Caenorhabditis elegans: one gene and its partner. The protein of the gene in region 1 interacts with the protein of each later gene in a pairwise test. Each region holds a gene or a part of one and is shown in the gene's direction. Other genes may lie near its edges.

Region 1 (5,045 bases):
AGATTTTTGGGCTAAAATACACCAAAAATCTAGATTTTTCTAGTTTTTTGGGTTAAAATACATAAAAATCTGGATTTTTAGCTGTTTTTAGAGTAAAAAAGACAACAAACTGGATTTTTTGCAGTTACTAGGGTAAAATGACCTGAGAATTTGGATTTTTGGCATTTTTTGGGGTAAAACAGACTAAAAAACCAGATTTTTGGGCTAAAATACACCAAAAATCTAGATTTTTAGCTGTTTTTAGAGTAAAAAAGACAACAAACTGGATTTTTTGCTGTTATTAGGGTAAAATTACCTGAAAATTTGGATTTTTGGGATTTTTTGGGGTAAAAAAGACTAAAAAACTAGATTTTTTTTGGGCTAAAATACATAAAAATCTGGATTTTTACGATTTTTTTAAAGTAAAAAAGTCCAAAAATTTTGATTTTTTCCATTTTTTAAGGTTAAAATATCGAAAAAAATAGATTTTTTTTTGTTTTTTGGGTAAAAACACCTCAAAATCTGGATTTTTTGAATATTTTAAAATAGAAAACCTTTTTTTATCGATTTTTTCAATAAAAAATTGGGCAAATTTGTGATTTTAAAGTTGAAAAATTGATTTTTCTTCATTTTTTTCATTTTTTCAGTGAAAAAGGAATGAATTTATGAATTTTCGAGTCAAAAACTGTAGAAAAATCGATTTTTCAGCTACTTTATTGAGCTTTGCTCTAAAAAATGAAGATTTTTCACTTTTTTTTCAAGCAAAATGGTCAGAAAATGTAGTTTTTTGGCTTGAAAAGGGTTATTTTTACACATTTTTGACCCATTTTATCGATTATTAAGGTCAAAACAAGCAATTTTGACAAAAAATCAAGAAAAAAACGCAATTTTTTCGGCTTTTTCTTGATTTTTGTCCAAAAAATTCGGTTTTTTCGCTGAAAAACTCGCTTTTCCACGTAGAAACTCGATTTTTGGCCATTTTTCTTCATTTTTATCTATTTAAATCCGCTTTTCCATCGTTTACCTTAATAAAAACCAGCGAAACAAATGTACAAAGAAAAATGTGCTCGGTAGCAGTGATTAGCATAGCCGAAAAGTCGACACGCATCACAATTTCGTTTCTGAAATGTCAAATTTCTTTATTTTTTCCACATTTTTCCAGCTTTTTCCAGCTTTTCCCACCTCGACGGTGGTTTTGAGCAAAAAGAGCAAATTCCGACGATGGCTCCGACGAAAACTAGGAGATTACAGGCCCATAGCGGCGCAAAAACGAATGCGTAGCTGGAAAAATCGATTTTTTCGGGAAATTTCTGATATTTTGAGGATTTCCAACCTAAATGAGACTTTTCCATCGAGTTTTAACGTGAATAATGCCGTGAAAATTAGCAGACAAGCGCAGAGAATTACTTTTCTGGAAAAAATTCAGGGTTTCTAGGTGAATTAGCTCGAAAAATAGACTTACGATGCGTTAAACGATCGGAAAAAGACTCCCAGACTTAATTCCACCATTTTTTGTTCAATTTTTAGCAATTTTTCATGATTTTTTCACTGAAAATCTGAAAAAATTGAATAAATCAATAATAAATTCGATTTATTCCACGAAAAATAAAACACGAAAACAATAAATCCCGTGCGCACCACTTGCAAATAGCACGCGCGCCGCTTGCAAAACTGGGCGGAGCCACGCGGAAATTGATTTTTTCTTCCTTTTTCCGCCGTTTTAAAGCGAATTTTCGCGAAAAATGACTCATTTTTGTTGATTTTTCAAGTTTTTTACTCAAAAATCGCACTAATTTCGGTATTTTTTGCCTAAAAATCACATTTTTAGATCGAAAAATGGGTAAATTCCTGTCGAAAATCTTTGGCAAAAAGGAGCTCCGGATATTAATGCTCGGACTCGATGCGGCGGGTAAAACCAGTGAGTTTTTGGCGGAAATTTCGATTTTTACGGCTAGAAATATGGAAAAAATCGATTTTTTTTCCAGCAATTCTGTACAAACTGAAGCTCGGGCAATCAGTGACCACAATTCCGACGGTGGGCTTCAATGTGGAGACTGTCACGTATAAAAATATCAAATTCAACGTTTGGGTGAGTTTTCCGCCCCAAAAACCCTGGATTTTGGCCTAAAAACCCCAGATTTTGGCCTAAAAACCCCCAAAAACCCCAATTTTTCTTCAGGACGTCGGCGGACAGGACAAAATTCGACCCCTCTGGCGACATTATTACACAGGAACTCAGGCGCTCATTTTTGTGATGGACGCCGCTGATAGAGACAGGTTTTTAGGCGAAAAATGCGGAAAAATTGGTTTTTTTCCTGGACAAAATCGATTTTTTCAACGGAAAAATTCGGAATTTTCAGAGTCGACGAGGCGCGAATGGAGCTTCACCGAATAATTAATGATCGGGAAATGAAGGAGGCGATTATTTTGGTTTTTGCCAATAAACAGGATCTTGCCGATGGTTTGTGGCTTTTTTGGCGGAAAATTTGAGCGAAATGAGCGATGCTACACCTAAAACTCGGAAAAAATCGATTTTCAGCTCAAAAATGAGCGATTTTACCCCGAAAAACTCGGAAAAAATCGATTTTTAACCTAAAAACTCGAATTTTCAGCTTTTTTTGCTTAAAAATGCCCGATTTTACTGAAAAAATGGATTTACTCACTAAAAATGCAATTTTCAGCGATGAAACCACACGAAATTCAGGATAAATTGGGATTGACGAGGATTCGAGACAGGAATTGGTAAGAAACATCAAAAACTCGAGGAAAAACTGATTTTTCTGCAAAAATACATCAAAAAACACCCATTTTCTCTCGGAAAATGGGTAGAAAATGCAGATTTTGGTGTAAAAATCAAATTTTTCCGATTATTTCTCACTAAAAATCTCGTTTTTATGCAAAAAATACAATTTTTTTAAATTTTCTCGGAGAAAAAGCATAAAATAGCGATTTTCGCTTAAAATTCCCTCAGTTTCTTCTAAAAAACCTCCAGAAACGAAATTTTTCTTCTTTTTTTTTAACGGAAAACTCTAAAAATTCGCCTTTTTTTCGGTTTTTTCACCAAATAATTCAGATTTTAAGGCATTTTCATCAGTTTTCGCACTAAAAATCCAATTTTCCACCTGACAACGCTCAAAATTAGAAAATTTATCGTTTTAGAGCCATTTTCCATCAAAAAATGCAGTTTTTCAGCATTTTTTCAGTAAAAATTCAATTTTTTCATCAAAGTGCTTGAAAATCGAAAATTTTCCGTTTTTAACCGATTTTCTAACAAAAATTCATATTTTCAACATTTTTTTTTCATTAAAAATTCAATTTTTCCCTTAAAAAACGCCCAAAACTCGTTTTGCCGGCTTTTCCCGTTTTTTCACAAAAAAAAAACCATTTTTCCATTACAAAGTGCTTGAAATTCGAAAATTCTCCGATTTTCGACCAAAAATTCCAGATTTTCAGCTATTTTAAGCCAATTTTTACTCAAAAACTCATATTTTCCACCTGAAAACGCTCAAAATTCAAAAAAAGTTCCTTTTTTTAACCGATTTTCTACAAAAAAAAAGCAGTTTTTCAACAATTTTTCACTAAAAACCCATTTTTCCTTTAAAAAAAATGTTCCAAACTCGAAAATTGTCGGTTTTTGGCCAATTTTCCCAAAAAAAATCGAATTTTTGCAGATTTTCAGCTATTTTCATCCGTTTTTCACGGAAAATCCAATTTTCTCATCAAAAAGTGCTTGAAATTCGAAAATTTCCGTTTTTACACCGATTGTGCACCTAAAATTCCGGATTTTACGGCATTTTCATCAGTTTTTGCACTAAAAAACCCATATTTTCCACCTGAAAACGCTCAAAATTCGAAAAATGTCGATTTTAAACCGATTTTCACCTAAAATTCCGGATTTTCAGCAATTTTTCCACTAAAAAAACCCATTTTTCCTTAAAAAAAAACGCTCCAAACTCGAAAATTGTCGGTTTTAGGCCAATTTTTCACCGAAAAAATTGATTTTTTTCAGATTTTCAATCAAAAACCTTCATTTTTCACCTAAAAATCCACGGATTTTCACCCATAATTTCCAATTAATTTCTTTGCAGGTACGTCCAACCATCATGTGCTTCAACCGGAGACGGCCTACACGAAGGCCTGACGTGGCTAAGCCAGAATTGCAAGCCGTAAAACACATTATCTGAAGAATTTGGAATAAAAAATTCGCGTCTTGCCAAATATTAACAGTATTTTTTTCACTTTTTATCTGCAATTTTTTCTGTTTTAAATTTTTTTTTAATTCAAAAAAAAAAAAATTTTTTTTTCAAAAAATTTTCAATCCCTTAAATTTTAACATTGTGTGTGCCATGCTTATTCCTATTTTCCCTCTCTTTAATTCACAGAAAATACTCGAAAAAAATGCTCAAAATGCTCCCCAAAAAAATAAATTTCCAAAATTTCCCCCCCCCCCCCCCCCCTAGGTGCCCAATTTTCACTTATTTCCCCACTGTTTTTCCCGAGTTCCCCCCCCCCCCCCGAAAAAAAACACTAAAATCACTGCTTTTCTCCCCAATTTTTGCTCCATGACCGAGGTTTTTCTCGGCCGCGGCGACCTCCAATTTTCTCCAAATATATTCGCTGCCATTATCTGTGATTTTATCGTTTTTTATGGAGAAAAATATATTTAAAAAATCGATTTTTTGGCCAATTTTATAGTTGATTTTCTTTAGGACGAAATATTTTTTGCTGCCAGATTTTCAGATTTTTAGGCCAAAAATTTAAATTTAATATTTCAGATGTCCCGAGTGGTTCTCAACGTGGATAGTTATGAGGGAAATGGTAGGCGCCTACGCCTATAGGCTGAAAATTTCTGAAAAATTGGCATTTTTGGCTGAAAAATTCGAAAAAAAAACGACCAAAAATGGTTGGAATCTGAAATCCACCATTAAAGGGGCGGAGCTTAGCCGGACAATTTTTTAGGGAACGCATATCGCCGGGAATCGAATCTATGTACAATTTCTACAAAAAGCCAATAAATGGGCGGAGCAATGCCACGCCCATTTTCCCGGGGCTCGCAACGAATTTGT
Region 2 (5,302 bases), on another chromosome or scaffold:
CCGAAAGGTAGTCAATGAGTGTTTGCCCCCCTCTGAACGGATGCCCCCTACGAACAATTGCCACCTTTGACCTAATGCCCCCTTAGAACGCGATGCCCCCTCTCACGATGCCCCCTGGGAACATGGGCCGGCAATTTGTCGATTTGCCCATTTGCCGGAAATTTCAATTCTAGCAATTTGCCAATTTGTTGGAAACTTTCAATTCCGGTAGCTTGTCGATTTGCAGAAAACTGCAATTCCGGCAATTTACCAGTTTGCCGATTTGCCGGAAATTTCAATTCTGGCAATTTGCTGGTTTGCTGAATTGCCTAAAATCTCAATTCCGGCTGTTTGTCATTTTGCCCATTTGCCGAAAACTGCAATTCCGGCAAGTTGCCTGGTTTGCCGATTTGCCGGAAATTTCAATTCCGGCTGTTTGTCATTTTGCCGATTTGCAGGAAGTTTCAATTCTGGCAATTTGCCAATTTGTCGAAAACTTTCAATTCCGACAAGCTTGTCGATTATCCAGAAATTTCAATTCCGGAAATTTGTCGATTATCCAGAAATTTCAATTCCGGCAATTTGCCGATTTGCCGATTCGCCGGAAAATTCAATTCCGGTAATGTGCCGGTTTGCTGATTTGCCGATTAATTTTTGAGCTTTTTTGCAATGTTTCCAAGTCAAATAAAACATATTTTCAGATAAAAAAATTTTTTTATTTTATCACTAAATTTTGATGAAAAAAGTATTTTTTGTTGGATAATCACGTGGTGCCAGGCTGTCCCAACACGGTTTGATCTACAAAATTGCGGGAACTTTTCCCGCAAAAAATGTGACGTCAGCACGCTCTTAACCTTGCGAAGTCAGTTGAGAAGTCTGCGTTTCAACTCCCGCATTTTTTGTAGATCTGCGTAGATCAAACCGAAATAAGACTCTGGTACCACGTGTACATATGTGTAATGTTGTTGCATTGCAAAATTCCAATTTCCCCGTAACTCTTTCTCGTCTGCCTAGAAAAGCAAAGTAAGAGAATATTAAATTAGTTGCGCTCTCGGTGCCTCCCCTTCTCCTCCTCTCACCCAATTTCATTCTCAAGCTCTCTCCACAAAAAAAGAGTATTGAAAATCAAGAGAGTTCCTAGAGAAACAAGCAGTGAATGTTTATATACGACTGTCCTTTTTCTCCAAAAATTTCGTCCTTTTCTTCTTCCCCCCACAAACACAATGACCTCCGTCCGAAAAGTTGTCGCGATGTTCTTCTCCCGCCGTCTAACTGCCTGCGTCTCTTCTCTATTTCTCTCCCTCGTTTTCCTGTTCATCACCATCATCATCAGCGGCAGCCGTAGCGGCAAGAGAGAAGAAGAACCGGCTGTTTTTCTGTTTTTTTTTTCTGTTCTGAGGCTTTTGTTACGTGTCTTGGAATTTTTCTCTTTTTCCTTTATTGTGCGAGTGATATGGACTTTTGGTTTTCTTTAAAGGCGCATACGGAAGTTTAAGTTGTTGAAAAAAACATTTGAAAATGTTTTTTTTTTTAATTTCAAAAGCCACGTGGCATATTTACAGCCACTTATCAAAAAAAAAGTTTTTTTACCCAAAAATTGTTGGTCGTTTTTATAGGATTTTTTTTGCGAAATTTTGGAAATAAAATTAATTTTAAAATTTAAACTTAAAACTTTTATTTTAACATTGGGAAAATTTTGTTATTTTCCATAAGTTTCGATAATTTTTGTACAGAAAAATGGTGATAAAATTAGTTTTTCTTCTAAAAATCGGACTTTTCAGACTTTTTTGAATTTTTTTCAAGTGAAAAATTTAAGCAATTTTTTTAAAATCAAGACTGTTTTCAGTTTATTTTTCTATTTTTAGCTATTAAAAATGAAAATTTTCAAGAGAAAAATGTTTTTTTACCATTTTTTCGACATTTTTTCTATTAAAATTGCGTTTTTAAAAACCAAATTAATTAATTGATAAACATGTGCTGTCAATTTCAATGCCAAGTACGCAAACACCACAGCTGCACAGTACCAGATCTACCGTACTCTTCAATTAATTAATTGAAGAGTACGGTAGATCTTGTTCTGTGCACCTGTGGTGTTTGCATACTTGGCATTGAAATTGACGACGCAATATTATCAATTAATTATTTTTGATTATTTTTTCTCAATTTTCAGCCGAAAAAACTCAATTTCTTCGTATAAAATCGATAAATTTCCAGATTTTATGACAGTATCAAACAATGGAATGGCGATGCCGTCTGTTCCGCCAAAAATCGACTGCTCCGAGGCAATTCAGGTAGAAATTCCCTCAAAATACACCAAAAACCTAAAATTTTTGCAGGATTCTCCAAAATTCCGCGCAACAGTCGCTCAACATGCAATGTATTTTAATCGATTAGAGAATCGGCTCAACGAAATGCTCCGACACATCACTGCAATGATTGATTTCAGCAAAAATTATACGAACACGTTTTAGTACGTGAAAAAAATTCATTTTTGGGGTCTCGAAACGATTAAGCTTTCAGATTACTGTATTTTAAAGGCACATAGCGAAAAATAATCGTTTCAAAACCAAAAATTCAAATTTTCTCAAAAAATCCCCGTTTTTTCCAGCAAATTAACGGTTTCGGTGAATCAATTATGCGATGAAAGCTTCTCCGGCAATCCATTGGCGTCTACAACATTCCAAGGATTATCAGAAGCCTATGCACACACTGTTAACCTATTTCGCACGTATTTCGACCATTCAAATGTGGTCACTTTCACGAAACTGTCGAATTTCATTAAAATGTGAGATTTCCGGAGTTTTTTTTGGCGAAAAATCATAAAAATCGATAAATTCTGAGTTAAAAAGGCCGAAAATTACAAAATAACGAGTTTAAGCGAATTTAAATCAAAATTTCGTTTTACTTTAAATTTAGAGGTGAAAAATTCAAATTTCCCGCTGATTTACTAGATTATTCATTCTAGAGGTACAGAAAATTGACAAATTTGAACAATCGAAAATTTTAATTTTTTTTGAACTAAAGGTATTTGGATTGAGCTAAAAATTTTAAAAAAATTTTTGAGCCAGAAAACTTCAAAAAAATTTCTATATTGGAAAAAATTAATTAATTAATTAATTAAATAAATTAAAATTCCTGTAAAAAAATTTGCAAAAAAATAGGCAAAACTCGATTTTTTCTCGGGTTTTTTGGTAATTTTTCAAAAAAAAAATCTTTTTTGAAAAGTTGAATTTCCCGCCAAATTAAAAAAAAAATCAATTTTACGTATAAAACAATATAAGGCAATTTTTTTCGAAAAATAATAAATTTCCAGCCAAAATTCAAGTGTTTTTAACCAAAAATCGCATAATTCACAACAGAAAATTGAAAATTCAATTAAAAATTAGATTTTTCGAAATAAAAAAAATTCAAAAATGTTTCCTCTAAAATCTAATTTAAGTGAGCTCACAAAAGTGGCAGAATCCCGTGCACATTTTGAGAATATGTCCCAATCAATGGATGATGCATTAGTCAAAAATGCGAGTATTTCAAGGCAAAAGCCTGCAGATGCGACAGAAGGGCGAAATGCACTTACTGCGGTGAGTTTTTTGAATTTTCAACGAAAAATATTCGAAATTCTCGATAAAAAACCAAAAAAAAATTCATCCAAATTTTTGAAAAAAATTTCTTTCTAAAAATAGGTATTGTACTGAAATTTTTTTTTACAAATTAAAAAACAGATATCTTTTTTTCGCCAAAAAAATTACTTAGTGATTTTTTTTTGTAAATTTTTAAAATTTTTTCTTCGAGAAATATAAAAATCGTAAATTAATTTTTGCAACAAAAATTATTGATTCATCAAAAAAATGTTAACTTTACTGAAATTTTTTTTTTAAATTTAATTTTTCGAAAAACTAAAAAAAACAGAGAAAAAAACCTAATTCAAAATCGACTTTCTTGAAAAATGCCCATTTTTACTGAAAAGAAATTTAAAAACATTTCTTTTGTAATTTTTTAAAGATTTATATTTTTCGAGAAATATAAAAATCGTTAAAGCGAACAATCAATTTTTTGAAAAAAGAAATATTGATTTATCAAAAAAAGCCGATTTTACAGTAAAAAAAATTCCAAATATATTATCTTCTTTTTTATTTTTTTCAAGATTATTTTATTTTTCGAGAAATTGTTAAAATAAATAATTGATTAATTTTTGGATAAAAATTTAATAATGTTACTGAAAAAAAAAGAATTTTCTGAAAAAAAAAGTCTATTTTTTAAACAATAAATCGAAAAATTTAAAAATGTTCTTAACAAAATCAAAATTTCTGGTTATATAAAACATTCAATTTTGTCGTTTTTTTTTTTGCTTCACCTTAAATAGTTTCTCACAAAGCGTCTCAATTGCAAGAAAAACCACTCAAAAACCCTTAAACAAATAAAAACATTTTTTTTTTCAAACCAAGAAACCCGCTCTTTTCCAGGTCGGCACTTGCTTCGCACACACCACACTCGACTACGTGGCAAATATTAATATTGCACATGCACACAAGGACCATATGATTCTCGATGCGGTTCGTTTTGAATTTTGAAAATTGTTGGTTAAAAAAATTAGAAATTCCCTCGGCTAATGTGAGAGTTATCACATAAAATAACGGAAACTTTTTTTTTCCAAAAATTTGAAAAAAATTCAAAATATTTTATTTTTAGCTGTAAGAGTTTTAGAAAGATCAATTTCTTGATTTTTTGCTCAAAAATTTAAGAATTTATAAATTTTTTTGTAGCCGTTTAACATTTTACTTTTGCCAAAAAAAAACATTAAAATAAAATTTTTAAAAAAATTTTAACTAAAAATTCAAAATATTTTATTTTAAACTGTAATGCATTAGAACTTTGTTAAAAAATTTGTTTTTGAATTTTTAAACTCAAAAACTTGAGAGTTTTGAAATTTTAAATTTTGCGAAAAAGCCCGAAATAAATTTTTTTAAAAGTTTTTTGACTCAAAAATTACAAAATTTCTCAATTTTTAGCAGTTTCGCATTATAATTTTTCACTAAAAATTTCAAAAAAACTTTTTTCCACTGTAGTTATAGTTTTGGTAAAAAAAAATCAAAAATAATTTTTTTCCCGTTTTTTACTCAAAAATTAAAAAAAAACATCTCAATATTAGCCATTTTCCTTTGAATTTTTCTTATTAAAATATTCAAAAACTTCCAACTTTTAGCCGTTTAGCATTCTAAATTTGGTAAAAAACATTAAAAAAAAATTTTTTTTTGTTTTTCGGTCGAATTTTTGATGCCAGTCCTGGTCGTAAAAAATAACTTTTTTTGTTGAAAAAAAAATTAAA

The links.
Region 2: the proteins of arf-6 (region 1) and cnt-1 interact in a two-hybrid assay, tested with the Caenorhabditis elegans proteins (one study listed by BioGRID).

Annotation. Positions count from the first base shown.
Region 1 is NC_003282.8:16,945,313-16,950,357, forward strand, and holds arf-6 (ADP-ribosylation factor 6), read left to right. Parts: upstream 1-1,807; 5' UTR 1,808-1,815; coding exon 1,816-1,897; intron 1,898-1,964; coding exon 1,965-2,068; intron 2,069-2,158; coding exon 2,159-2,256; intron 2,257-2,339; coding exon 2,340-2,440; intron 2,441-2,660; coding exon 2,661-2,721; intron 2,722-4,067; coding exon 4,068-4,149; 3' UTR 4,150-4,422; downstream 4,423-5,045. Other genes in the region: Y116A8C.9 (Transmembrane protein 185B), read right to left, coding at 1,004-1,100, 1,162-1,260, 1,313-1,390, 1,442-1,488; rad-54.B (DNA repair and recombination protein RAD54-like), read left to right, coding at 4,755-4,797.
Region 2 is NC_003280.10:12,085,758-12,091,059, reverse strand, and holds the start of cnt-1 (Truncated cnt-1), read left to right. Parts: upstream 1-2,191; 5' UTR 2,192-2,198; coding exon 2,199-2,270; intron 2,271-2,315; coding exon 2,316-2,449; intron 2,450-2,587; coding exon 2,588-2,764; intron 2,765-3,418; coding exon 3,419-3,557; intron 3,558-4,439; coding exon 4,440-4,529; intron 4,530-5,302. UniProt on the Caenorhabditis elegans protein: GTPase-activating protein for the ADP ribosylation factor family. Regulates endosome recycling downstream of rab-10 and upstream of arf-6.